Linked DNA regions of Cricetulus griseus. The protein of the gene in region 4 interacts with the protein of the main gene of each other region in a biochemical or structural test. Links are inferred from orthologs where the notes say so. Each region holds a gene or a part of one and is shown on either strand. Other genes may lie near its edges. The genes, in order: Rnf41, Ube2v1, Ube2g1, Prkn, Mfn2, Septin5 and Pink1.

Region 1 (3,500 bases), on a different chromosome or scaffold from region 4:
CTACCAACTGGAAGTCACACAGCCCCACTCCCACCCCCCATTGCTGTCTTCTCCAGCTTTTAAGAGCCAGCCTGATTCTTAGGATGCTGTTCTAAATTAAGAGGGGAATTGCTGTGTCCTGTCAGGCTACTCTGTTGGATTCTACCTGCACTCATACATATTACTTCTGAGGAGTCCTGGATCACTGTCCCAGGTACCTACCAGCGCTTAATCAAGTATTTCCCACCTCACACAGACAGAAAATAGGGCACAAGGGAACATGAGAGGCTAGAAACTGGAGCAGGCAGCCTGACAGAGAGAGTATATTGGACTGGAGAGAAAGGAAAAGTGCCTCCATCTTAAGTGTTATCAGAGGTCACTGGGTTACTGTCCTCTTTCTGTTAACAATGCAAGACCAAAATGACCCTAGTTGGAAAGTGAGATCTGAGGGCCAGCAGGGAGTCAAGAAGCTCAGAAGTGTCCCTGGCCTACAGGCATGGGAATGGGAAGAGCCCTTATCTGAATGGAGGGAAGGACTCTCACCCACAGCCCTGGTCACAGGTCACAGGCCGCTTCGGGTTGTGCTCACAGTCACTGAGGTGGGACATGAGGTTGTCAAGCCGGACAACAGCACTGCAGCCAAACACAGCGTTGTCACAGGCAATCTGTAGCTTTGACAACATGTTCCGCATGATCCGAGGTACTGGGCGTAGGTGGGCAACCGTGACAACACTACGGTCTACCGGGCACGTCTGCTGCTGAGAGAACCACTGGGTGATGCAGGCGTTGCAGAAGGCATGCTCACAGTGAGGTGCCTAGGAGGGACACAAGGGAGTTAACAGGAGCTGAGAGCCTGGATCTACTGACGAGCCAGTCAAACCTCTGAGCAGGTCCTAGGACCAGAGCTCCAGGTGTCATGGTAAATTGCAGATCTATTTGGGGCAGGGCATTTTCGGGTCAGGCGTAAAACTCAGTTCCTGTGCTCAAGAGTTCAAATGAGTTGTGAGACAAGATAAACAAGCAAAGGTTATGTAACAGTAAGAGACATAAATAACATTCCAGGACAATGGGACGATGACAAGGCAGCCAGTTACTAATTGCTGACACAAGTGCAAACGCAATAACTGCTAATGACATCTAGAGGCAGGCATGCTCTTTCCACAGCACTTCCTTATGGAGAGGTCTTCAAGAATGATTCAGATGCAGTTTAGAGGGGCAAAGCCTCACTAACCACAGCAGGAATAATGGAGTACAAGACCTGCCAGTCCTCTACACTCCCCCACCCCACCCCCACATCCCATCACCCAGAAGACAGAGACAGGCGGAACTCTGTGAGTTCGAGGCCAACCTGGTCTACAGAATGAGTTCCAGGACAGGCTCCAAAGCTACAGAAAGACCCTGTCTCCCCCCCCCCAAAAAAAAAAAAAAACAGAAAAAGAAAACAAACAAACAAACAAAAAACCCAAGGGGGCTGGAGACATGGCTTAGAGGTTAAGAGCACTGAATGCTCTTCCAGAGGTCCTGAGTTCGATTCCCAGCAACCACATGGTGGCTCATGACCATCTATAGTGCCATCTTCTCATGTGCAGGCATACACGGAGGCAGAATGTTATATACATAATAAATAAAATCTTTAAAAAAAAAAAACTCAACAAATAAATAGAAAAGAGAGACAGAGTACAAGAGCGCCTCGTGGCAATACATGGACTGACGCAGAGGTCTCGTACATGCCTGCCCTATATGGGAAGACCTTATTACCCCAGAAAACAAATGGGGCTGGTGAGATGACTCAGTTGCTACCAAGCCTGAGTTAGATCCTTAGGATCCACATGGTTCCATGGACTGCCCGTACACACACACTCACACACACACACACACACACACTGAATAAATAAGTAAATGTAAGTAAAAAAATCCGGGTGTGGTGGTGCACACCTCTACTCCCATCTCTTGGGAAGCAGGCAGATCTCTTTAAGTTCCATGCCAGCCCAGTCTATACAGTGAGACCTTGTCTCAACAAACTGTCACTCTCAACCCCTAAACAAACAAACAGGGGCTGGAGAGATGATTCAGCAGTTAACAGCCCTGGCTGCTCTTCCAGAGGACCCAAGTTCAGTTCCCAGCACCCACATGGCAGCAGCTCACAATAAACTCTAACTTCCATTTCAGGGGATGACATCATCCCTTGAAACTTTTGACACCATCAGGAACCTAAATACATGTGAAATTCCCTCCCCCTCCAAATAAAAAATATTTTTTCTTTCTTATTCTCTCAGATAAAAAATATTTTTAAAGAATGAAAAGAAAACAAAAGACCCAACAACAAAGCAAGTAGCTAAAGTGGGGAAAAGTCTGAGAGCTAAGCGGGTTCTCTGTGTAGACTCCAGTTCTTCTCTCTCAGGCTTGTCCTACCCTTTCCCTGAGGTGTTGCCGCTGATTCACAACTGCTACACTTAGGCTGCTAAACAGGACTAGTGCATTTGAGGGACAGCGCTGTTCTCAGTTTTAAGTTCATGGTTGGGGTGGGGGTGGGTGTGTGTGTGTGGGGCACACTCAGCTCCCGGCACTCAGAAGTGTAAACTAAGTTCCAGGCTACTTACTGCGATTACACAACCATACCCTGATTCAAAAACCAAAGCAAGCCAGAAGGGTTAAAAATGCTATTGCGCCGGGCGTTGGTGGTGCAAGCCTTTAATCCCAGCACTCGGGAGGCAGAGGCAGGCGGATCTCTGTGAGTTCGAGGCCAGCCTGTTCTCCAGAGCGAGTGCCAAACTCGCTCCAAATGACACAGAGAAACCCTGTCTAGAAAAACAAAACAAAAAACAAAACAAAACAAAACAAAAAAACCCCAAAGCAACCCCATATATAAAGATGTACTTATTCCTTTGAGAAGGTTCCCTGGTCCCTGTGAAGACACTTTTTGGCAGCCAGCAATGGGCAACAGTGTACCTTTGATTTATTGTGTGTGCCTACATTTGGGGTGTGTTAGTGCAAGCGCATATGAACCATGGAGCTCCATCCACCGTGGGTTCCACAGAGTGAACTCAGGTCATCAGGCTCGTGTGGAATGTGCTTCAACCCATCTCACAGGCTCAGGTTTGATTTCTCAGAGACTGAGACACAGGACTGGGGAGATGGCTCAGCAGGTGAGATTGTCTTTTGGCCTCCACGTGTGCCATGGCACACCCGTGCCTATTGACATACACAAAATAATAAATGATAAAGTGTTAACTAAGAGGATATAAAATACACTAATAAAAAAGCTATTTATGAACAAATAAAATTAAAATGAAAAACTAAATCCTCAACATTATGTATGGTACTTCTCAAAACTTTTGCCCTTATGTTTTTTGAAACAAAGTCACATGTAGGTTACCCTGTCCTTGAAGTAGCTGTGTCAGAAGGGCTGGGTTCAGAGGCCACCACACTTTGTCAGAAGGGCTGGGTTCAGAGGCCACCGCACTTTCTATGTCAGAGGGGCTGGGTTCAGAGGCCAACACACTTTCTGTGTCAGAAGGGCT
Region 2 (3,500 bases), on a different chromosome or scaffold from region 4:
AGAGCTGGAAGAAGGCCAGAAAGGAGTAGGCGACGGCACAGTTAGCTGGGGTCTAGAGGACGACGAGGACATGACACTTACGAGATGGACAGGGATGATAATTGGGCCTCCAAGAGTAAGCACCACACTATGCTGTGACTCTCATTGTCTTAAGTTCACTGTGCCTCCTTTTAAAGCAATGGTAGCCTTGTTGGTAAACGTTCACCAACGGTGTTTTCTGAAATGTGGTTGTTCTTTCTCTGGCCAGTTTTCCTTTTCTACGTTTGAGACCCTCTGGTGAGGTCAAACCCTGTTGGGTAAGTGAATCCTGTGTAGTCAGTAGTGTGAATTTACATGACAGTGTAGACAGGGGCCTTTGAGCTTGCCGATCCCCAGGCCGAAGTTCAGGATGGTCTCTGAGCACCTGGACTGCCAGCAACCCCCTGGAGCAGCACCACAACTGCTCTACCTGGCTAGGCCTACTGCTTGTCACTGAGCACAGTTCTCTTTCCACCTGTCGGCTCTGCTGGCTCCACTCTGGTTTGTGAGGCCCTGGCCAGTTGTGTTTGAAGGTACATGGTTAGCCCCCTAGAAGTGTATTTAGTGCTCACAAAGTTGTTGTCAGGTCCTCCTACATCACCACATTCCAGGTCACAGGTGGGGAAGCTGTCCCAGGAGTGAAGTCACCTGCCCAGTCACAGAGCTGAGCACTCCCAGCCTGGGTCTGTTTGCCAAGCCTGTGTCCTCCTGCCCACTAGGCCACGCTGACAGGCTTCCACTTGAGGCTGAGTTTACAGTGGTCAGCACTGGGGTGGTCGATGTTTACTACTTGGTGCAGGAGAGGATCTGGGAAGACCCTCAAATGGGACAGTCCTGCAGATGAGCCCTGGGAGGTGTGGCCTGAATGTGGCTAGGCCTGTCTAGTTTGTTTGTGCCTCGGGGAGACAGCTTCCTTCCTTTTCAGCTTGAGCAAGGTGCTGCCTGTGCACTTTGGAGATAGGAGGACTCCAGCTGTGGACAGCGGGAACTGACACCTGCCTCAGGCTCATTAGCATTCAGATACTTGAGTTCAACTTAGAGGGTCGTTGACACTATTGGGGAACGACCAACCTTGCACTTTACTGTTGCTCCCTAAGTCATTTTTGCAATTCTGATGCCAGGTGTGGATAGTTAACGTGTGCAATGTGGTTGTGCCCATTTCCCTTGTCCCTGTGACAGCAGCTTACTGACTTGTAGAGTACTGGGGATGCACGTGTAGATGGCTCTGCAGACGTTTTTACTAAGAGGGTCCAGCCTCCAGAGTCCTTCTCCCCAGAGCACCTGCTGCAGATGGTTCAGGGGCCACTTCACTGGCTTCCAGGCTCAGGAGGCTGAGGCGGCATGTGAAGCCCGGAGCCACCACTGCCCTGGATGAGGAGGGCTCAACAGTTCAACAGGCATTTGCCATGGCTACAGTTGCCGGAATCCTAGCGTGTGGTGGTGGAGGCAGAAGGCTCAGACGGTTGTGGAGATTTTTAGCAACCGGGGAATTTCGGGTCAGTGTGTGTCCTTGACGCCATCTCAGAAGATGGCTCAGAGGTTAAGAGCACTCATTACTCTTGCAGAGGACTCAGGTTCCATTCCCAGGACCCATGTGATGGCTCACAAACATCCATGACTGCAGCTCCAGGACACATACATGTGAACTAAACAAAGGACAGATGGACAAAAATCCAAAGCAGCCCATAAATGATACCAAAAATAGGGGCTGGAGAGATGGCTCAGAGGTTAAGAGTACCGACTGCTCTTCCAGAGGTCCTGAGTTCAATTCCCAGCAACCACATGGTGGCTCACCACCATCCGTTATGAGATCTGGTGCCCTCTTCTGGTGTGCAGATTTACATGGAAGCAGAATGTTTTATACATAATAAATAAATAAATAAATAAATAAATAAATAAATAAAATCTTTGAAAAAAATGATGCCAAAAATACTCTGCTCTGCCTGAATGCAGGCTGGGTGTGGTACAGAACACACCTGCAAACTAGGTGAGGCACCAGTGCTGCGAGTTCATGGCAACTTGGGCTCCATACCAAGATCCTGTCTCTGACACACAAAAAGAAAACTGCTTGGGTTGTCCTGAACTTGAGTTTACCCTTTGCTAAAGGGTGTAAAGCTGAAGCTGCTAGAGCGCTGGGTACTTTCTGTGTGCTAATTAATGTACATACTTGTAGTGCAGCCCAGGTGTTACAGATCCACCTTAGGACCTCACAAAGGCTTGCTAGGCAAACCATGAATCATGCCACTGAGCCACACCCCAAACGTGCCTGCACAGCTTATTTACAACGGGGTCTTGAGCCAGGGTGGTGGCTCAGACGTATAATCCCAGCTCTTGGGAGGTTGGGGCAGGAGGCTCACTATTGGTTGTAAGACAAACAGAATCTTGCTTTGCAGACCAAAGCTACCCTTAAACTTGGCATTTTCCTGTCCCAGCCTCCCAAATGCTGGGACCTAGAGCTTTGCACAAGGCAAGCAGGTGCTCTACCACTGAGCTATATCTATTGGGCTTTCTTATTTTAATTATGTGTGTTTGGTTTACATGTGTGCATGCATCTGCAGATATCCAAGGAAGCTAGAGGTATTGGATTCCCCCTGGAGCTGGACTTAACAGGAGGCTGTGATCTGCTGCCAGGGGTGCTGGGAACCAAGCGGGTCCTCTTCAAGAACAGTATGGGCTCTTTAACAGATAAGCCCTTGATCCTTGATTTGGAGATACATTTTGATAATGTAGTACAGGCTGGCCTCAGACTCAAGATTCTACTACTTGTGTTTCTGATGTACTGAGATTACATTTATGTCACCATGCTTGGCTTAGAGTGTGTTTGTAACATATATAATCTGCAAGTTTTTATTATTGACTTTTCTCAGTACTCTGACACAGTACCTGACAAGGAGACTGCTGGTCACACGGCATCCTTAGGCAGGGAGAGAACACTGGGAGTGGGCACTCAGCAAGCGTCCTCCCTCGTGTGCTCTGGGGCCCAGGCTGCGATGATCCTGCAACATCCAGGGTAGTTCAGTGGGTAGAGCACTTACTGCTAAGCCTGGCGGGCGGGCGGGCAGACATGCATACACGCGCGCACACACATACACACTAATGAACAGCATCCAGTTAACAAGACCACCACAGTATCTGTTACTTAAAATTGTGTTACTTTCATCATTGTGAAGAACTGTTGGTGTTGACTTCTTCCCCTCCCACCCTGAGTTGCAGATAGAGCTCTGTGGTGCTACTGACTCTGAGGCCTCAGTTTGTAGCAGAGCCCTATAGCACCCACAGTACTTTGTGCCCTTGCACTGCCAGGAGGACCCATTCTGGGTGTGCCTATTTAGTTTACCCACTCATTGTTTGTAGCAGTGGGACCAATACTGATGGCGTGTGGTGGAAGTTTTTCTGTGGACTGCTGTTTTCAATTCTTTGGGGTATGTACCTAGGACTGGCATTGCCAGATTAGGTGGCAGCTGTTCCTCATCTGTGGAACT
Region 3 (4,290 bases), on a different chromosome or scaffold from region 4:
GTGCACGCCTTGTAGAGGGAAATGGTTTTCTGGGTTTGAGGAGAGCCTGTCTGCAGAGTAGTTACAGGGCATTCAGGGCTACACAGAAATCTTGTCTCAAAAAACCAAACCAAATCAAGCAAAACCCCGAAATTACCAAATTGGCTTAGTTCCTAATTTGTTGGTGGTATTCACTCAATGCTTATTTTATCCTTTGGTCTGATAGGACGGTGCTAGGGAGGTAACCTAGGGTCTTGTGCCTGCTAGTGCATTAATTTTTGTAACAAACCTGTTGAAATCTGCTTCTCTTGTTCACTTTACGAAGCTTCAGGCCTTTGTGGGTAGGAATTTCCTATGCAGTTTTTGTTTTCTATAGTCCAGGTACACGGAACTAAGGATTGAATAAACACTTACTGAAAGAACAAACAAAACTGTCATTGTTATTTTTCCTTCCCCTTTCTCATCTCTTTATTGCTATGGTGTTGACAGCACAAAACTTTGAAATGGAGGGGGTATTATATAGCTGGATAAGGTTTATTTTGCCTAACCTTAGGTTTCACACTAGGACTTTACATTGTAGGTGCCTTTCTGGACAGTTTTATCTATTATGGATTCCATCCCCAGGCAGAGACTGGGTATCACTATGTAATAAAGGCGGGGGTCCTCTCTCAATCCCCCTGCCTCAGCCTCAGTGTTGGGACTACAGGGGTAAACCACCCACCCAAACAACCGAGTATCAGATGGTGCTAATCACAACTGCGCACTTTACTCAGTCTTACTATTTAAACAGTCTGTGAGAGTCAGAACATTTTATTTCAAGGATCATTCTGTGTATTCTTTATGAATTTTCATCATGCTTAAAATGGGGCACACAGGTACTAAATTCGGCTTTGTAACAATGACTAATTCGCACACCTCGTATTAAGTGTTAGATGGCTGCTGGGTGCTCGCTAACAACTTGCTATCTACCCCTTCTGGTCCCATCACTCTCAGACCTCCAGCTTACATCGGGAGGCAGCGTCCTGACCCTCCGCGACCTCTTTGTCATGGCGTCCGCGGGGCGTCTACCAGCCGAGGCTTCCGCAGCCAGGCGGGCGTGGACCTTCCCAAGATGGCCGTGCTGGGCCCACAGCGCGCGGTGGGCGGGGTTCCGCCGCCGGAGGCGGGGCAGCAGGGCCGAGGGGTCGGGCTAGCAGGCGTGCGGCTTCTGAAGTAGGCAGGCTCAGCGCGCTTGCGCGGAGCGGCCCTACGCGCAGTGAGGCAGTGGCGGGGGAAGGCACCGGTGGGGCCGACGGGCGGGCTGAGGAGGGAAGCGGGCGAGCGAAGTCCCAGTGCGCGCCGCGGCGGCCGGGGTACCCTCCCCTTCCGGGCGTGAGGCGCTGAGAGGAAAGCGGAGCGGAGCGGACTCGCATCGGCAGCGAGGTGCTTCTCGGGGTGCCCCAGACCGGCCTCCCGCGGCTTCGGCGCTCCAGTCGCGGGGCCCGGGTTCCTCCACACACCTAGCTCCAGCCGCCGTCAGAGCTTGTCCCCAGTTCCTCGAAGCCCCGGCGGCAGCCTGGGCTCTCGGCGGGGAGGATGACGGAGCTGCAGTCTGCGCTGCTACTGCGAAGACAGCTGGCAGGTGAGCGGCGGGGCGCCGGGCCGCGATCGCGGACTGACGAGCCACTCGCCTCCTGTCGCCCGCTCGGAGGCAGGGTGGTGGAGGGCCGCGGGCCGCGAGGGTGGGAGCCCGCGGGTCTCGGCCGGCCGGCGACACTTCTGGCCCGGCTGTGGAGGGTGTTGGGGGCGGGGACGCGCCCCAGCCTCGCCCTCGGACGGGCCGGGCGCCCAAGGCGGCTGCCCCCTCCCCCACAGAGCTGGGGCGTTGCGGGGGAGGGGCGTGGGTCCCGGCCGGGCCGACCCTCCCTGAGGGGCGGATCCCGGGCTCAGGTGCGGCGGAGGCCCCGGGACCTCAGGGACCCCGGGAGCGTGCGGGCCCCGCGCGACTGAGAGTCCGAGCGATGGCTGGGGCCGGATAGGGGAGGCGCGCCAAACTTCTGGCTCGGCAGCACGGGGTCCGCGGAGTTAGGGCGGACAACAAAAGCGACGGCCGGGCTGGCCTGGGTACTGGGCGCGGGGCGCCGAGGACTCGGCGGGGCGCGCGACTCCGCTTCGCCTGCCTCCGCCTGGCACGAGCTCGGGCTGCGCCGCCCGTCTGGGGGAGGGTGGGCGCGGGCGCTAAGGAGAGCCGCTCGCTGGCCGGCCGGGGCTTTGTGCTCGGCGCGGCTCCGGCTCCGGCGCAGGCCCGCAGCCACCGGGCTGTGGCCCGCCTTAGGTTCTGGCCAGGGGCGGCGGCTAAGTGCCTCCCCCGTGGAGTCTCTGTCCCCCCCTCCCCCATTGTCCCGGCCTCCGGCCGTTTGCGGCTTCCAGGTTGACTTTTTAGGGGGTTGGCTCCTACTCTGCTAGGACTGTGTGAGCGGAGCATGCGCGCTGGAGGCGTACGTGTGCGGAGTGGAAGGAGGGGGGAGGGAGGAGGCGGGTTGGTGGCTTCACAATGCCGCCCCACGTGCTGCCAGATTTAAAGAGAAATGAACCGGTAGTTACCCCTGCTGTCCAACGCCAAGCTTGTGCCTTGCTTGGTTCAGGCGATCTTACCCCTCCTCAACCTGTAGCCAGCCCTCCCATCCCCGCCCTCCTCCGGCGAAGCGCTGAAAGCTGGAAATGAAGATAAATGAAATAAATTTCTGTGAGTGAGGTGTCAGTTAAATCACCTTTATGGCTTCTTAAGGAAAAGATCCACAAGGACAGTTACAGATTGTATAATTATGTTTATTATTAGATCATGAGCTAGCAGGTTTGGACAAGTATTAAAATTGTAGATGGGAAAGTGATTTGAAGTGAATGGAAAAGTGTATACCCATCAGAAATATTATGCTCTAAAGAAGTGGAACTTATTTCATCTTACTTAAAAACATTCTTTTACTGTGGTTTTTCCTCCCTTAATTTTGTTTTGGGAGAAGAAATTCAGATTATGTCTCCTTAAGAATTGTTTTTTAAATACCACAATAGTGAATTCCAGGACAGTCACGGCTATGTAGAGAAACCCTGTCTCAAAAAACAAACAAAAAACATTAAACAAAATCCCAACTTTATCTGAATAAGTTTTTTTTTTTAATGTAGCAAATCATTAAGTAGTAAGTTCTAAATACTAAAACAGAAGTCTTACATAATGGAAGTGACATGCATCCTAAAAAGTGCAAAAGATTTTAACAGTACTACTATGTTAAACCATACCATGTCTGGTGGCGGTGACACATGCCTTTAATTCCAGCACTTAGGAAGCAGAAGTTGGTGGATCTCTTTGAGTTCTAGGCCATACAGGTCCACAGAGCAAGGTTCCAGGACAGCCAGGGCTACACAGAGAAACTCAGTCTTGAAAAACCAAACCAAGCCAAAACTAATACCTATTTGTGAACACAATCTTTTTTTTTTTTTTTCTCAAGTTGTTTCTCTATGGAGCCTTTGGCTGTCCTGGAACTCACAGATCTGTCAGCCTCCTGGTCTTCCAAATGCTGGGGTTTGAGTCCTTGTCACCATACCTGACTTGTGCTTCTTTTTTATTCTTCACAGAAATAATAGACAAAACAGTCTTCAAAGGTTTTTAACCAATGGTTAATTTTTTTTTTTTTTGATGCGGTATTCTAAAATACACAGTGAGAGAATAGAAAATGATTAACTTTTCAGGCTTTCTTATAAAGATTCTTTGCTTTCTTGATCAGAGACAATGTAATAATGTAGTCTTTTTTTTGTTTTGTTTTGTTTTTCGAGACAGGTTTTCTCTGTGTAGCTTTGGAGCCTAACCTGGCACTAGCTCTGTAGACCAGGCTGGTCTCAAACTCACAGAGATCCGTCTGCCTCTGTCTCCCGAGTGCTGGGATTAAAAGCATGTGCCACCAACGCCAGGCATAAAGTCATTTTTTAAGGGATTTTAATTAATTTGCTCAAAGTGTGTGGTACAAGGTTTGTTAGTTGAAATGTGAAAATATTAATTTGGGAAGACTTGATAAGCATCTAAAAATAAAGACACCAAGATGCTTACCTTAGTAGCAATTTTTAAATGAGTTTTCCAGTATCACTTGAAAACAGTAAAGACTGTTTTTTTCTTTTTTAAAAGATTTTATTTATTTTGTATATTTTTCTGCCTGCATGCTAGCAAAGGGCACCAGATCTCATTTAAGGTGATTGTGAGCTACCACGTGGTTGCTGGGAATTGAACTCAGGATCTCTGGAAGAACAGTCAGTGCTATTAACCTCTGAGCCATCTCTCCAGCC
Region 4 (2,175 bases):
ATTTGAAAATCATGAGTTTAATATGGCTCTATTTTTTTTTTTTAATGAAGAATCAGCAGGCTGTGAAACACACCATTTATGTCTGAGCACATGAGGGAAAGATGAGAAACTCAGACTGTGAATGGGATTTGTTCTGAAGGCAAAGAGCCCTTTGTCCATGTCATTATCTTATCTTTTCTCACTTGGGGGAGGGGGATGTTGCCTCCTGTTGTTTCTGATTATTCCCCCTGGCTCAGAGTCTCTCTGCCCTCCTTGCTGGGGATTTTTGGCTACAAGAGTCATTTCTGGGATGGCATGGGGGCAAGGGCTCCCCGTGTTTGCCACAAGCCCACAGCACCTGTATCCTTTGTACCCACAGGAGGATGTATGCACATGAAGTGTCCACAGCCTCAGTGCAGACTGGAGTGGTGCTGGAACTGCGGCTGTGAGTGGAACCGAGCCTGCATGGGTGATCACTGGTTCGACGTGTAGACAGACACTCAGGCACTGCCCCTGACCACACCTCCTTACGGGAAACACGTGGACTCCTGCCTTCTTAGCCATTTCGTCGTCTCTGGGCATATAAGCACATACAATGCACACGCACAAACACAGACTGCAAATTACAGACTCGGCCACTAGATCCTTTCCACAGGCACCCACGGAAGCCAGCAGCACCCACTAGGCACCCAGTGAGAGGCACTTTCGGGCCTCTGGCATATGCAACTATCCAACACTGGGAAGAGAGTGTAGCCCCTTGTTTTGGATTTCTCATCCCAGCAGGAATCCAGCCCTAGGGAGGGCTTTTCCAGGTTTAATTTCCCGACTTCACCTTCACTAAATCCATGTAGAAGCCTTAGGCGAAGCCACAGCTCTCCAAGGCTGTTGCCACGCTCTGTGTAAATTAGACTGCCGTGGAATCTCAAGAGCACACTCGAGATGTGAGGGACAGTGTTCTTACTCAGCAATCACCTATTCCCAGGGGGCCCTCCCCGGCAATAGTCAAAAATATTTGTTTATCCCCAAGAATCCTATCTTTATAAATGGTGCTGATGAGATGACAGCTCGGCGGCATACAAATCAACTTATCAACCAAGTGAGAAACTGGAAAACATAATTTGAATGCAGACTGTTTAAATTACAGTGAGGGCATCAAAGTGGAACCTACTTCCACTCGCTTAATTACCTGCAACTTTAGAAAGAAATTACTCTTTTTTTCCTGAAATTATTGCAAAGTCTGGAATTTGGTTTGAAGTATTCATATTGCAGCCTGGAAGTTTAGCCCATGCATTTGTCTTCACTGTGAACTTAATAGAAAAAGTGCCTATAAAGGGCATGTTTTTAGAAACAATCCCATGATGCTATTCCAACGCTAACAGCAGTGCAGGCCGGGTTTATATTTATGGAATATTTATAGAAGCGGCATTTCTAGATCAGCCACATGAGAACATGCCTGACCCTCCATCAGAAAGGGAGACACCTCTGTGTACTTACCCCCTAAGTCCCAGGGAGTCCCATGCACCCAGTGGTCCTACAGGCAGAACCTTTTGCGAAGGACAATAAACACACTAGAATATTCCTTAGGTAAATACACATCACATTTGAATGTTAAGTTTTCAAGATTTTATTTTTTCCTGTTGTGTTTCGTTTGGTTTGGTTTGTGAGGCACTCATAACACATAAAGCTGTTTCCACTAGGTACTGTGAGATGCAGTTTCTACTGCACCCTGTGCACAGGGGTGAGGCGTGGTCTCTGCCTTTCCCTCTCATTTGATTTTCTGACTTCTCAGGAGGCTGAGCTGGCAGCTGAGGGTCTCACTGGCCCCTGAGGCCCCTTGGGACTTAAGAGGCCTGAACCTTCTGAAATCAATAAGTAGATACAACCAACAGAATCCGATGCTGGTGGGAGAAGAGGCAGTGACCTCAGAATTTTCAGGTCATATCCCAAGAGCACCTGCTCCCCCACCCCAAGCAGCCTCACCCAGAACACTCCCCAGGAGCAGGCTTCCCTCCCCTTCCTCAGAGACACAGTACTGGAACAAGGCAGTAGTGTGAGAGGGGGCCACACAACATGACTTATCACCAACTGCTAGAAAATCCATCCTCTCCTTCATAATCCAGGGCTGCCAGACCCAAGTCCAGAAGCCAAAGATCAGATGGAAACGATGCTATGGTATCTTGTAGTGTGAGGCGAGGA
Region 5 (4,222 bases), about 280 Mb from region 4:
TGACTGTCCAGTCCAGAGTCTGTCATTACAGACAGAAGGCTGCCCTGTGGGCAGTAACTACAGCTTTCCCTGACTCACCTCCCTGGAGACTCAGAACTGGAGTGCTGACTTAACCTCTAAAGCTGTCTGAGGCATGACTGTACCCTGGCTATAGGGCAGTGCCAATCAGTGGAAAGCAACACGAGAGCTAGGTGTGGCGGTGAGTGACTACAGTCTTAGCCCTAGGGAAGTGGGCAGGAGGATCTTCTGTTCAAGGCTGGATTGGGCCACCTAGTGGGAACCCTGCCCCCAAAACAAACAAACAAGCAATGTAGTACTCACTACAAGGGCAGGCCACTTGGGTGATTTAAAATATTCAACTAGCCATATTATATGCTTTTAAATATTGTTTCCTATTTTTAGTTAATGTGTGTGAGTTCCCGCCTACATGTTTAAGAGTGCACCACACATGAGCCTGGTGCCCATGGAGGACAGAAGACGTCGGATCCTCTGGATTGTAGTTACAGATAGTTGTGAGCTGCCATGGGGTTCCGGGTTGTCTGTAAAAGCCACCTCCCTAGGCCCCAGCCATATTTACTTGTGTGTGTGGGATGGGGGGTGGATACACCAGGTCATGGTGCTTGTGTGAAGGTCAGAGAACAACTTTTCGGGAGTGGGTTTTTTCCTTCCACCCTATTGGTGGACATCTTTACCCACAGAGTCATTTTGTGAACTCCACGATTAGCTATCCTTTTAGAAGTAAAAAGAGACATGACTTTATATGAAATTGATAATGTATTTCATTTCGTTCAGTTTATCCAAAGCCTTAACAACATGTTATCAATATAAGAATATTAATGAGGTAGTTTGCATGTTTTCATATTTAGCACTGGGGAATCTCTCAGTTTGCAGTAGCTGCATTTCAGGGCCTCGGCAGCCAGGAGTGGCTGGTGGGCGATGTTACAGAACTCAGGCTTGGAGTCCTCCCAGCTTGGGATCGTCTGCTGTATTCTAGTTCCTGAGGTTGGGCAATCATGCCCTGAGTGTCCTGGAACTACTGTGAAAACTGAAAAATTGCATGTTCGATACTCAGCTCAGTGACCGGCACCTAGTAGGTGCCTGCATTGTGGCTGCTGTTTTGACTGCCTCAAAGGCAACTGAAGGACAATTACTTCACCCTAACGGTGAAGAGGCTTCCCTCAGATTATGAAATGTAAGTCTAGATTTCAAAACTGGCAGGTGTTACAGGGTCAAGTTCTGGAGTAACAAATGAAAACACACGCAAACCTTTAATCCACACCCCTGTCATCGTCGTCGTCCCTATGCTCCACCCACCCCCACGCTTGACAGCTCGAGGCTCCGCCCTACCCCGCCCTGCGCCGCGCTGATCCGAACTACAATTCCCATGATGCACTGGGAGCCCCCACCCAAAAATACGTCATCTGCATAGGACGCGGGACGGTTATCAGGCACGCGGAGGCACCTTTTGGAGCGTGGACCCTCTGGACGCTGCCGCGCTAGAGTGGTGGGGATGAAGTGACTGAGCTTCTGGGCCATCGGCTCATCTGGGCTGCGGTGGAGCGAGTGACGAGCGCAGTCCCCTCCCCTCCCTCTTCTCTTGGTGTGGCGACAGCTAGTGACGTCGTGGGTGTGATGGCCGCCGCGAGGCCGGGAAGGTGAAGGTGAGAGGGCGAGCGCGCCGGGGTGGTGGAACCGGCAGGCCCCCGCCGGGAGAGTCCTGAGCCGCCCAGCTTAGGACGCCGGGACGCTGGGGCCCCTGGGGCTCGGGCTCAGGCTCGGGTCACACGGGCGTTCCCCTGCCCCGGCCTCGCCGCCGAGCCCTCCTCGGCTCTGAAGAGGGGGCGGGCCGCAGGACCCAGGACTGGGAGGTGGGCTCCTCGAAGCTCCCGGCACCCCGGTCTTCCCTGCCCTGTGGTCACATTCCTGACCCCTGACCCTTTCCCAGTTTTCATCCTATACTTTTCTGTTTTCTTTTTGCCAGCATTCTTTTTTTTTTTTTTTTTCAGGACCCAGTTCACTGCCTACTCCGTTTATGGTGGAGGTCCTTTTACTTGTATGACTTCTCATTGCACGGTTAAGACCCTCGATGGTTGGAGCTATTCTTACCCGTCCCTGACCCTAGCACCTAGCACCTAGCACATTGAAGGCCTCAGAAAATACTGAAAAAGATAGCTGTTTGGGTGCAGAAAGGCAAAGCTGCTTGTAATACTCCTCTCTCACCCTGTTTGTTTACTTTCCCAGTCATCTCTGCCTACTTCCAGAAAAGGATTCTTGATTTTCCCCTTCTTGTCTTATGTTGGAAAACACAAGTGAGCTCTGGAGGCACAGTTAGTGTATCTTGGTCTCTAGCTTGGCCACTTGACTATATATATCTTCTCACTTGCTTCCCCCCCCCCCCCCAGGGTTTCTCTCTGTAGCCTTGTCTGTCCTGGAGCTCACTCTGTAGACCAGGCTGGCATTCAACTCACAGAGATCCATCTGTCTCCCAAGTGCTTGGGTTAAAGGCATGGGCCATCACCACTGGTGTTCCCACTTACTCTTAAGTGCAAGTTGATTCTATAGACTTGTGAATGGAACAGATTACTTTGTAGCAGCTGGGATAGACAGGCTTTCGATCAGGTCTGCTCTCTTCCTTTCCACACCCCTCCCACTGCTAGTTGACAGTTTCCAGGTCCTCAAGGCCGGGCCTTGTCCTGGTTGTCTCCCTCCTCTCTCCTCTGGATGTGCCTTTTCGAGGACCTCATTGGCGCCTTGCACTAGCACATGGCTAACAGTGTGTTTGTGCATGCCTGTGCTTTGTGTTCCTTGTCTCCACCCCCCCACACACACACACACCCTTCCTCACCTGCTCCTGAAGTACCTCAGTGAGTAAGCTTCCCTCAGGGATGAGTTAGTTTGGCTTTAATACTTGATTAGACATGCTTTGCACATCAGGTGGCATTTTTTCTTCCTGGTTGCCTATTGACCTCTCCCTTTTGCTTTCCAAAAGTGGGGACAGGTGGAGTCAACACCATCAGTGGCCAACCTGGACCTGAATCAACACAGAGGAGACCTCAAGTTCATTTCATCTTTTTGACTCCAGCCATGTCCAGGACGCCCACCCTGTGAAGGTCTCTTACCAGCTAAAAAGTAAGTGGAAGCTGTGGTTTGGGGCACCAGGGCCTGGCTCGAGAGTGAAAGAGCGTGTTCTGCTGGCTCTCGGGTGGCAGGTCTCTTGGATGGGATCCTGGAGCACAGAGCTGATGGCTTCCAACTTGTGTTGGAAGAAGCTGCTGTTTCTCCTTTCTGCTTCTGTGGCACTTCACTAGTTGACAGGTGAGAACATTGCTGGGATCTATCTCCTGGGGTCCCTGAAGCATTAGTCTCTTTCCCTTGTTTGTTCCTCTCTGTGTTGGCTCTTCTCTGTCTCTGCTTGGCAGAGGTTGGCTCCTTATCATGGCTCTAAGAGTTGGCTCTGTCCGTTACCCTGTGTACTCTTTTGTTTCAATTTCTCAGCTTCTCCTCTGCTCCAGTTTTGTCAGCAGACGATCTCTGGACCCATTTTATTTTCTCTGCTAGGAGTTGCTGTACATAAAACTGGGTAAGGAGGTGGTGTGGATTCAGAATTGCACCTCGGATCCAAACACCTTGCACTGAATTTTGCTGCTGCTGTGCAAACACCTAATACTTCCCCACTAATAGCCTGGGTTGAGGCAAAGCTTCTGATGGCCTTCAAGTGCTAATCCTGGCTTTTATTCAGAGTTGGGTTTGTTTCTGATTTAAATTAATATGCTATTACTGGGCTTTTGCAACTTCTGGGGGTGGGAGAAGTCTGTCAGATAATGAGTCTTTCCCTAAAGTGTGAGCCTTAGAGTTTTAAAGCCTGTTAGAAGTTTCTACTCACCCCATCCCTCCCTGCTTTCTTTTGAGAAAGGTAGGGCCACATGAACAGGTTGGCCTTGAACTCCCTGCTTAACTGAGGATGACCTTAAGCTCCTTTTTCGTGCTCTTTTCCTCAGATTTATTTATTTAGTGTGCATGTACGTCCCAGTGCACATGTGGAGGTCAGAGGACAACCTGTGGGAATTTGTTCCCTCTACCATGTGGGTTCAGATATTGGATTTAGGGTGTTAGGCAACAAGAACTTTTACCAGTGGTGGAGCCATCTCTCCATCCCAGCCTTGAACTGGTGATTCTCCTGCCTCCACCTCCCAAGTGCTAGGAGTACACTGTGTGCCACCAT
Region 6 (4,083 bases), on a different chromosome or scaffold from region 4:
GCTGCCCCTTTGCCTCCACCACGGTGTTGCTGCCGATAACAGCGAAGGGCGCACTTTCCTGGGGAAGGGGGAGCAGAGACCCGCCCAGTGCTGTAAGAGGCTGAGGGGGCATGGCCATTCCAGCACGGCCACCACCACCCTTCCAACTGGGATGGCCCCGCTTCTGGGTGCCTCTGTTACCCACTAAAGCCACAAACTCTGCATAGCTCAAAGCCTTGGGGCTCTGCCAGACTGTGCACTTCTCTGGCTACGAATGGTTCCCAGAATTTCCTCCATCTTTCAAGTCAAAGTCAAGACCAGGCTTACTGGTGGATGCCCCTGCCCATCTGCTCCTGGCCCAGGGGCTCCGAGTTCCTGGCTTATCTTTGTGTCATACCTTTTCTAGTCTCTAGGATATTCAAAGCCACCACCCTCTGCCCTCTAGAGCACAGAATCTCAGCAAGTAGGGCTTGACACAGCTCTGAGCCACTGTGCTGATTCTTGGAAAGCGGGCCAGAATGGTACCAATTAAGTGCTCTAGTAAGCCCAGGGGAGGTCCAAACAATTCACTGCAGACTAGACAGCGATACATGTGACCTTAACCTGTAGCCCTTGGGACAAGGGAACAAATGATTCTTGCCTTGATCATGCTGGACCTGGGTGCTTAGCCTTCCCCCAGGGCCTGGGTGGCCTCCAGTGCTTTGTCCCAGCAACCTCCTTTGCCCTCACCCCTCCTGGCTACTTGCTCACCTTCAGTTCCCGGTCCTGTTGCTTGAAGTCTTCATCTTCATCTGAATCACATTCTGGAAACTGGTACACATGGATCCCAAACTTGTCAATCTCTTCCCGTATCTGCAGTAGTAGGGCAAGAGTTGTTAAACTCAGCACGGACCAGCTCCCCTGTAGTTTTTGGCTAGGTGCCCCCTTAGCTGTCGAAGACTCACCCTATCCTTCAGCTTACGGATCTCACTGGGAACCAGGCAGTCAGCTTTGGCAATAAGTGGAACGATGTTCACCTTCTCATGCAGGGCCTTCATGAAACCCACATCCACTGGCCGCAATCTGCAGAGATAGGTTGGAGACTGGCGTTGTCGGAGGCAGTGATAGGAACACCCACCCTGAGCCAGGCACTGGGACGGCCACATACCCGTGTCCAAAGGGGGAGATAAAGTACAGGCAGCAGTGCACCCGGTTGTCTTGGATATTCTTCCGGTTGAGGCCACTTTCATCTCGGAAATACTGCTCAAACTGCTGGTCCACATAGTCGGTGATGGGCTTCCAACTGAAAGTGGAGGAAGAATGAAGCCAGCTCTGAGAGCAGCTAGGTAGTGGTGGTTGGGGCAGAGAAATTGTTCCTTACCACTCAGAGTTGTTCACAGCATCACCAAAGCCGGGTGTGTCCACAATGGTGAGCTTCAACTTGACTCCCTTCTCCTCAATGTCAACGGTGTGTTTCAGAATCTCGACTGTCTGGTTGATGCGTTCTGCAGAGGAAGGAAGGAGAGACAGTGTTTTCAGGCCATCTTCACCTTCACTTTTGGGGGGGGCAGCAGGGAGCCTTATTCTTACCCACCCTGGTGCCTTCGCCTAAGTCTCAGCCTGACTCTATGTTCTGGGCCACTCCTCATCCCCAAATAAGAACCCATGCCTCAAGCAGAGTGGAAGGGTGCTCTGTGAGGTTTCTCAGGGCAGGGATGAGCACATTAGTGAGGACTGTATGGTTGGCCACTCACCCTCAGCGCTCAGAAGCTTCCGGTCCTTGTATAAGTCAGTCAGAAAGAGGCTGTGGACAAGAGTCGACTTCCCCAGGCCCGACTCACCTGGCCACAGGGGACAGTGAAAGAGCTGGGTTAGATCTGAGCTGACCCATGGCCTCAGAGACTCCACCCAGAAGTTTGGTCACTCACCAGCCACCATGAGGGTGAAGTCGAAGCCCTTCTTCACTGACTTTCGGTGCACCTGATTGGGCAGTGTGGCAAAGCCAACGTACTGCTTGTCGATGTCCTGAGGGCAGGGGTAGGATTGGGGCAGGTCAGAGGTATATCCTAGATCTTTGGTGGCAACCCAAGACCCTGTCTCTTATATGGCTCAGATGAGCAGATAGCATAGCCCCAGCAAGGGGCACTTCCTCAGCAAAAATGGGGTGAGGGCTGTGGAGCAAAGGCTGGAAGGAGGGAGGGAGGTGAGGGGGTGGCAGGAAAAGCATCCCTGCCCCAGCCCCAGCAGAGACCCAAGACTGGGGTGGAGAAGAAGGAATGTCAGCCGCACAGGGGTGTCCCTCCAGGTGGATGGTGGGAATCAGTTCTGAGACCCCTCAGACACATTCAAGGACCTCCATAGGTGGAAGCAGCCAGACCTCAGCACAAACTCATCCCCAGAGTATCCGGGGTGGGTGGCTTGTTTGGCCCAGATCCAAGCTTGGGGGTGGTGGTTCTTGAAGCAGCATCCGAGCAGGGGCTATTTATAGACTGCAGTACCGAGCCTCCCCCGCCGCAGGGTCTGCGGTGCCTGCACCCATCCTTAGTGGACATCTGCCCTGGGAGCCCCTGTTACGTTCTCTGGTAGCTGGGTGGTCCTGGCCAAGCGCGTGCACACATGACCCACATTCCACCCTCTCTCCACACAGACACACACACACACCTTGAGCCGCCTCTGGGCCTGGGTGCGCGGCGACAGCAGCTGCTCCACCAGGCGGTCCTGGGGTGCTGCCAGTGAGTCCATCGCTGCGACCCTGCGGGCCCCGCCGACCCTACACCGGGGTCAGGCCAGTCGGGGCCAGCGATCTCGAGCGACTCGCGCTGGGTAAATTTGCTCTTAAGCCCTCTTCTGGCTCGGGTTTTGGAGACACAAGAACTGAGGCCGGGAGAGGGAGCGTCGCCTACCTGGTAGGCCGCTGACCTCAGAAGTCGTGCGAGCCATTCCCCTGTCTCAGCCGCGAGCTGTGGCCGCGAAGACGCTCAGCAGCGGCTCGCGCACTGGAGCCCGAGGCGGGGCTTCGCGGGCTCCCGGCAGCGGTGGCAGGGACCGCCCCGCCCGCCGTCGCCGGGAAACAGTCGCTTGGAAATTGGGCCGCAGGCGGAGCCTTGAGAAAACGGCTGCGGAGGGCAGGGCCCAGCAGAGGCGCGCGGGCGGGGGCGCCGCGTGGATCCGGAACGCAGCCGTGGCACCCGAGGCCGGGTCCAGACGGTCCGCAGGCGGCCGGCGAGGTGGCTGCGGTCGCCGACCTGCCTCCCGGACGCCGCGCGGCTGCCTCCCACCAGAGGGCGCTGCGGAACGCTCCGGACCCACGCGCACCCGCGCGGGAAGCGGCCCCAGCCAACACCTTGCTCTCCTCGTACTTCACCCGAAACCCCTCCAGCCTTGCCATGGCGACCAAACTACCCACAGACACACCCCTCCTCGCTCCTTGGGGCTCACTCTTTTCTAACACCCCCCCACGTGTATGTGTGCCTGTGATTAGGGGAATTCTTTACCCGCGTGGCATCTTCATATGCACCTTCCTTACTAAGTCTGGATCTGGCTCTCCCCTCTGCTTAGCCTAGTGGGGGGAGGGGCAGGAGGCTGGGCGAGTGTTGCTCCCTTTTAATCCCAGCACTCCTCCATCTCTGTGAGTTCGAGGCCCAGCCTGGTCTACAAAGTGAGTTCCAGGATAGCTAGGGCCACACAGAGAAACCCTGTCTCAAAAAACAAACAAAAGGGCGTGAGGGGATGCAGTGGTCAGAGTTCGGATGGTCCCCTTCCTTCCTAGCTTGGAAGCACTGGTCAGGCCGCAGCTAGGCATAACCTCTGCCCACAACATGCACCACGAGCCCCTGGAATTTCAGGGTGCTGATGAACTAACTGGGAAGCCAAATTCTATGACCCACCGACCTTTCCTCATGCCTCACTTTCAACCCCACTAGAATCAGAGCACACCAGTTCCCCCCCCCCGGGGGGGGGGGAAGGAGGTCAAGAAACTACACTAGTGCCAAAGGACCAGGAGACCTCCCTTCCTCATGCAGGTACCACCCTTTCCCAGGAAGGCTCTCCACAGTGGCTTCTTGGAGGGGCCTCCATCCTGGCTCTTGCTATGGGGCCCAAGGGTGGTTGGCACCTTGGGAGGAG
Region 7 (4,130 bases), about 270 Mb from region 4:
CCCTTTCCCCAGCTTTCCCAATGGCAATACCTATACAGTGGTAGCACCAACTGTCTTCAAGGTTTATCCATTTGCAGCAGGTTACAGAATGCCCTTCCTTTTCAAAGGTGGAATAATATACACCACTGATGGACACAGGGTCACTTCTACTACCCCTTGGCTACTGTAAATAAGCTGCCTAGAGCTTACATGCATAAAAGTCTATGCATTCTGTCCACTAGTCAAGTATCCATGGATACTAGACAGTGATTCTGTTTTGAGCTCTTTTGAGGGTTAGGGCTACTGTTTTCCATAGTTACTGCAGCACTCAGGTTTTTGGATGAATGCTTCTGTTTCCCGAAGTAGATGCTGATGACTGCAATGACAGGCTGGTGTGGTAAATACAAATTTAATTTTGTATCACTTGCATTTGTGACGGCATGAGATCCCATTTCCCCACCTTCACCGGCATCTGCTATTGTCCTTGTTTTTATCTTAATCATTATAGTAAGTGTGCACGGATACCTCTCTCATTTTAATGTGCACTTATCAAATGGCCAGAGGTGTTGAAAATCGTCACATACTCTTACCTGTCTGTCACCTGTATTCATATCTTTTTCTATTTGTTTGTTTGCTTGCTTGGGCCAGGGTCTCACTATGTAGTTATGTAAGACACAGGAATGGGGTCCCAGTATTAGGAACAGGAAGTAGAGGAAATGCTTGCTAGGTCTTTCTTTGATCCATGTCTTTGACCCCTCAGCCCGACTCTGTAAAATGCAGGGGCTACACTCACTCAGCAAGTGGTTTTAAACCCCAGGAAAAAGGCTGGCCTCCCAGAAGGCTGAGTTCTGGCAGCTGACAACCTAAAGACTTGAACTGCACAGCCAGCTCTTCTCTGGGCCTGCCAGCCCAGCATGAGCCAAGTGCTCAGAATAAGTCCCAATCTCTAAATATACGCATCCTATTGGTTTTGTCTGGGTGACCTTGACTAGAAGATTTTGTGAGTAGAAAGAGAGGTCAATGTGCTCTTTTAAGAGTTTAAAAGGCCGAAGAACTCCCACGTATCCAGTGATAACCCCACTGTGGCTAACTAAAACAGTAGATGTGATGAATTCTCTAGCAGAGGGCACAGGCTTTGAGAGGGCGGGCTTTGGGCTTTGGGCACTGCCTTTACCAGCAGTGTGACTTTGAGTAAGTCATCTCACCTTTTTTGAATATGTGCCCTCCATAAATCAGGATGGCAACTACATCAAGGGATGGGAGTATTGTCATTTTAGAAAGTGTATTCAAAGCATAGTGGCACATGCCAATAATCCCAGCACTTGGAAAATGGAGATAGGAAGGCCAGAAGTTGAGGCCACCCTGGGCTACATTTACAAGTCAGGGCCATCCCCCTCCTCACGCCCCAAAAGAAGAAAAAAAAATTACTCAAAGTCACTTGCCACAATGCAACAGGACAATTGGCAATACCTCTTGTTAAAAAAATACTGTTTGTAAAAGAAATGCAAAGTGCTGGCATATCAGGCCATCAGTAACTGGAAGTAAGTCAGACTTAATTGATGATTTCCATTTTACAGTTCAGTCAAAGATAGACCTTAATCAGGCCGGGCGTTGGTGGCACACGCCTTTAATCCCAGGCAGAGGCAGGCAGATCTCTGTGAATTCAGGATGGGTTCCAAAGCTACACAGAGAAACCCTGTCTCAAAAAACAAAAAAACCAACCCCCCCCAAAAAATAGACCTTAATCTTTGCCTTATCCCTCGACTCACCCCCACTACCAGGTCTAGGTATGCCCTCATGACATGCTTCTAGACACATAACTAAAAGATGCCACCCACCACTTAGTACAGTCGGCGAGTACCCCACACCTTGAATTGCCCTGCTCTTCCCAATGCTCACGCCCTATCTCAGTCTTCATCCTCAGACCTAACCCTACACTAAGGCTCAGAGCCTGACTCCACAACGGTCCAGCTAGTTCCGCCCCTGATGCGGAACAAACTTAATGGTTCAAGAACCGCTTTCTAGACCTGCTCCCGGCCATGCCTCCACCCTAAACCAGCGTTCCCTATTTCCTCCGGACTCGAGGAACCTCCACGCCCCTGCTTCCAGCTGTAGTTCTAGCTGTAGCCTCTCCCTCTGGCCTCAGGTCCTGGCCGGATTCCAGGCCCAGATCCTAGCCTTGCCTGATCCTAGCGCCACTTTAGTTGTAGCTCCGCCCCTAGGGATCAGGTCCCGCCCCCGGCCCGGCCCCACTCGCGACCACTTTCCTAACCCCGCCTCCTCCTGGCGCAGGCCCCGCCCTCTCCCCGCCCCGTCTGGCCTAAAGGCGGAGCTCTGGGCAGGCTGCTGGCCGCTCCCCCGGCTCCCCGCCCTCCGCTGTGCTCACCTGGATCTCCTGACAGGCCGAGGCGGCCCGCCGGCCCTCCGCCTGCTTCTCCTCGATCAGCCCCAGCCCCAGCCCGAAGGCCAGGAAGGCTGCTCGGCCGCAAGGGCCCGCCCCGCCCCGGGCCCGCACCACGAATTGTCGCTGGATCCGCGCCGCCAGCCCAGCCACCGACTGGCGGAAGAAGCGGTAGCGATCGGGAAGGGGGAGCCCGAGCGGGCCCGGCTGTGCTCTGGGGCCCGCCGCCCGGCCCGGGCGCTCTCCGCGGCCCCAGGCTGCCGCGGGGCCGGGCCTTCCCAAGCCCGAGATCGGGCCGGGCTTGGCCGCGAAGCGCAGCAGCAGTGCCCGACCCAGTTGCAGGCCTCGGCCCAGCGCCTGTCGCACCGCCATGGTGGCGCGGCGACCGGATCCCGCTGCCACCGCCACAAACGTCCCAGAGACCGAGGACAACAAACTTCGGGGCGGAGCCTATGCGCAAGCGCGGGGGGCGGGGCCGCGGCAGTTCTCCTGCTCGGTGCACGAGGGCGCTGTGTGCTCATCTGCGTCTCTCCTAGTCTGGCTGGTTTGCACTTTGAACCCTGGTACAGAGGTTGCAAAAACTTCACTGGTCCTGGTTAACGTAAGAAATTGATCCGGTAAACTAGCATCTGTTATCAACCACCGGTCCAGGCCCTTTACACTTTTAAACTTACCCAATAATGATATAAGCGTGCCAAATTTGTAGATTAGAGAGTGCTGTGTTTCCCAGATTGCATGGAAGTATTAGAGCTCAGGTTGAAGTTCAAGCTGCCCTAGCTGTTGAGGGCTTTGTCTCTTCTTCCTCACCCCCAAGTGCACTCATGTTCCTGTACAGGTCGCAGGTTCCATGGCTTCTTAGGACTAGGAGGGAGATCTGGCCCAAAGGTCACAATTTATGCCTACTGAGTGCTGGAATTAAAGGCATGTGCCACCACACTCAGCTTTCCAGATTTAAAAAGAACAAACAAACAAACAAAATCCCCCGAGGCTGGAGAGATGGCTTATCCATTAAGATCCATCTGCCTCTGCCTCCCAAGTCTAACTCTGGTTCTTATGTTTGCAAAGCAAACTTTACGTGTGTGTGTGTGTGTGTGTGTGTGTGTGTGAAGTTTACCTATAGAAATCAGGCAATTGCAAAGGTATCTGTATTTGAATGGTAGATACAAAGTGTGTGTATTTAAGATGTATGCTATTGGCTGGGCAGTGGTGGCACACACCTGTAATCCCAGTACTTGGGAGGCAGAGCCAGCCTGGTCTACAGAGCAAGTTCCAGGACAGCCAGGGCTGTTACACAGAGCAGCCCTGTCTTGGAAAAAAAAAAAAAAGAATAAGAGGACAAATGTTGTTATTCAGTTTACATAATGTTCAAAGGCAGTGAGACTGATCTATAGTGTTAGGGGTCAGGCCACTGAGGCTCCTTGGGTGGGCAGTTACTAGAGGGACATGAAGAGTCTTTTGGATGCTGGTGACCTCTTTCATGACCTGTGCCTATGAGATGAAAGCTCACTGTACACTCAGATATGTGTAGTGCAATTTTCTATCTTCCCCACAGTCCCCTTCTGAAACATGCTCTACCACTGAGCCCCAGACCCTGAGTACACTATTTCAATAAAGATTTTGTGGTGGCCACCTCCCCAGTGCTGGGATTAGAGGATCTTACCCAGCTGCAGGGTGCAGTGCTGGGGATGGAGCCCAAGGTTTCATTTGCTGGCTCTCCACCCACGCAGCTCCATCCCCAGCAGGATTTGTT

The links.
Region 1: the proteins of Prkn (region 4) and Rnf41 form a complex in vitro, tested with the Homo sapiens proteins (2 studies listed by BioGRID, with this or other methods). The link is inferred for Cricetulus griseus from reciprocal best matches to the Homo sapiens genes PRKN and RNF41.
Region 2: the proteins of Prkn (region 4) and Ube2v1 form a complex in vitro, tested with the Homo sapiens proteins (4 studies listed by BioGRID). The link is inferred for Cricetulus griseus from reciprocal best matches to the Homo sapiens genes PRKN and UBE2V1.
Region 3: the proteins of Prkn (region 4) and Ube2g1 form a complex in vitro, tested with the Homo sapiens proteins (5 studies listed by BioGRID). The link is inferred for Cricetulus griseus from reciprocal best matches to the Homo sapiens genes PRKN and UBE2G1.
Region 5: of the proteins of Prkn (region 4) and Mfn2, one has a biochemical effect on the other in vitro, tested with the Homo sapiens proteins (2 studies listed by BioGRID). The link is inferred for Cricetulus griseus from reciprocal best matches to the Homo sapiens genes PRKN and MFN2.
Region 6: of the proteins of Prkn (region 4) and Septin5, one has a biochemical effect on the other in vitro, tested with the Homo sapiens proteins (2 studies listed by BioGRID). The link is inferred for Cricetulus griseus from reciprocal best matches to the Homo sapiens genes PRKN and SEPTIN5.
Region 7: of the proteins of Prkn (region 4) and Pink1, one has a biochemical effect on the other in vitro, tested with the Homo sapiens proteins (12 studies listed by BioGRID, with this or other methods). The link is inferred for Cricetulus griseus from reciprocal best matches to the Homo sapiens genes PRKN and PINK1.

What each region holds. Positions count from the first base shown.
Region 1 is NW_023276806.1:129,453,660-129,457,159, forward strand, and holds part of Rnf41 (E3 ubiquitin-protein ligase NRDP1), read right to left. Parts: intron 795-3,500; coding exon 523-794; intron 1-522. UniProt on the Homo sapiens protein: Acts as E3 ubiquitin-protein ligase and regulates the degradation of target proteins. Polyubiquitinates MYD88. Negatively regulates MYD88-dependent production of pro-inflammatory cytokines.
Region 2 is NC_048599.1:11,798,126-11,801,625, forward strand, and holds part of Ube2v1 (ubiquitin-conjugating enzyme E2 variant 1), read left to right. Parts: coding exon 1-115; intron 116-3,500. UniProt on the Homo sapiens protein: Has no ubiquitin ligase activity on its own. The UBE2V1-UBE2N heterodimer catalyzes the synthesis of non-canonical poly-ubiquitin chains that are linked through Lys-63.
Region 3 is NC_048600.1:86,427,238-86,431,527, forward strand, and holds the start of Ube2g1 (ubiquitin-conjugating enzyme E2 G1), read left to right. Parts: upstream 1-1,490; 5' UTR 1,491-1,554; coding exon 1,555-1,600; intron 1,601-4,290. UniProt on the Homo sapiens protein: Accepts ubiquitin from the E1 complex and catalyzes its covalent attachment to other proteins. In vitro catalyzes 'Lys-48'-, as well as 'Lys-63'-linked polyubiquitination. May be involved in degradation of muscle-specific proteins.
Region 4 is NC_048595.1:288,897,095-288,899,269, reverse strand, and holds the end of Prkn (E3 ubiquitin-protein ligase parkin), read left to right. Parts: intron 1-358; coding exon 359-471; 3' UTR 472-1,675; downstream 1,676-2,175. UniProt on the Homo sapiens protein: Functions within a multiprotein E3 ubiquitin ligase complex, catalyzing the covalent attachment of ubiquitin moieties onto substrate proteins. Substrates include SYT11 and VDAC1.
Region 5 is NC_048595.1:8,557,832-8,562,053, forward strand, and holds the start of Mfn2 (mitofusin-2), read left to right. Parts: upstream 1-1,422; 5' UTR 1,423-1,661; intron 1,662-1,730; exon of another isoform or gene 1,731-1,868; intron 1,869-2,006; 5' UTR 2,007-2,041; exon of another isoform or gene 2,042-2,073; intron 2,074-2,989; 5' UTR 2,990-3,129; intron 3,130-4,222. UniProt on the Homo sapiens protein: Mitochondrial outer membrane GTPase that mediates mitochondrial clustering and fusion. Mitochondria are highly dynamic organelles, and their morphology is determined by the equilibrium between mitochondrial fusion and fission events.
Region 6 is NC_048597.1:70,618,431-70,622,513, reverse strand, and holds the start of Septin5 (septin-5), read right to left. Parts: upstream 2,801-4,083; 5' UTR 2,701-2,800; coding exon 2,620-2,700; intron 1,984-2,619; coding exon 1,887-1,983; intron 1,800-1,886; coding exon 1,713-1,799; intron 1,464-1,712; coding exon 1,340-1,463; intron 1,262-1,339; coding exon 1,127-1,261; intron 1,042-1,126; coding exon 924-1,041; intron 832-923; coding exon 730-831; intron 59-729; coding exon 1-58. UniProt on the Homo sapiens protein: Filament-forming cytoskeletal GTPase. May play a role in cytokinesis. May play a role in platelet secretion.
Region 7 is NC_048595.1:15,026,234-15,030,363, reverse strand, and holds the start of Pink1 (serine/threonine-protein kinase PINK1, mitochondrial), read right to left. Parts: upstream 2,801-4,130; 5' UTR 2,753-2,800; coding exon 2,366-2,752; intron 1-2,365. UniProt on the Homo sapiens protein: Serine/threonine-protein kinase which acts as a sensor of mitochondrial damage and protects against mitochondrial dysfunction during cellular stress.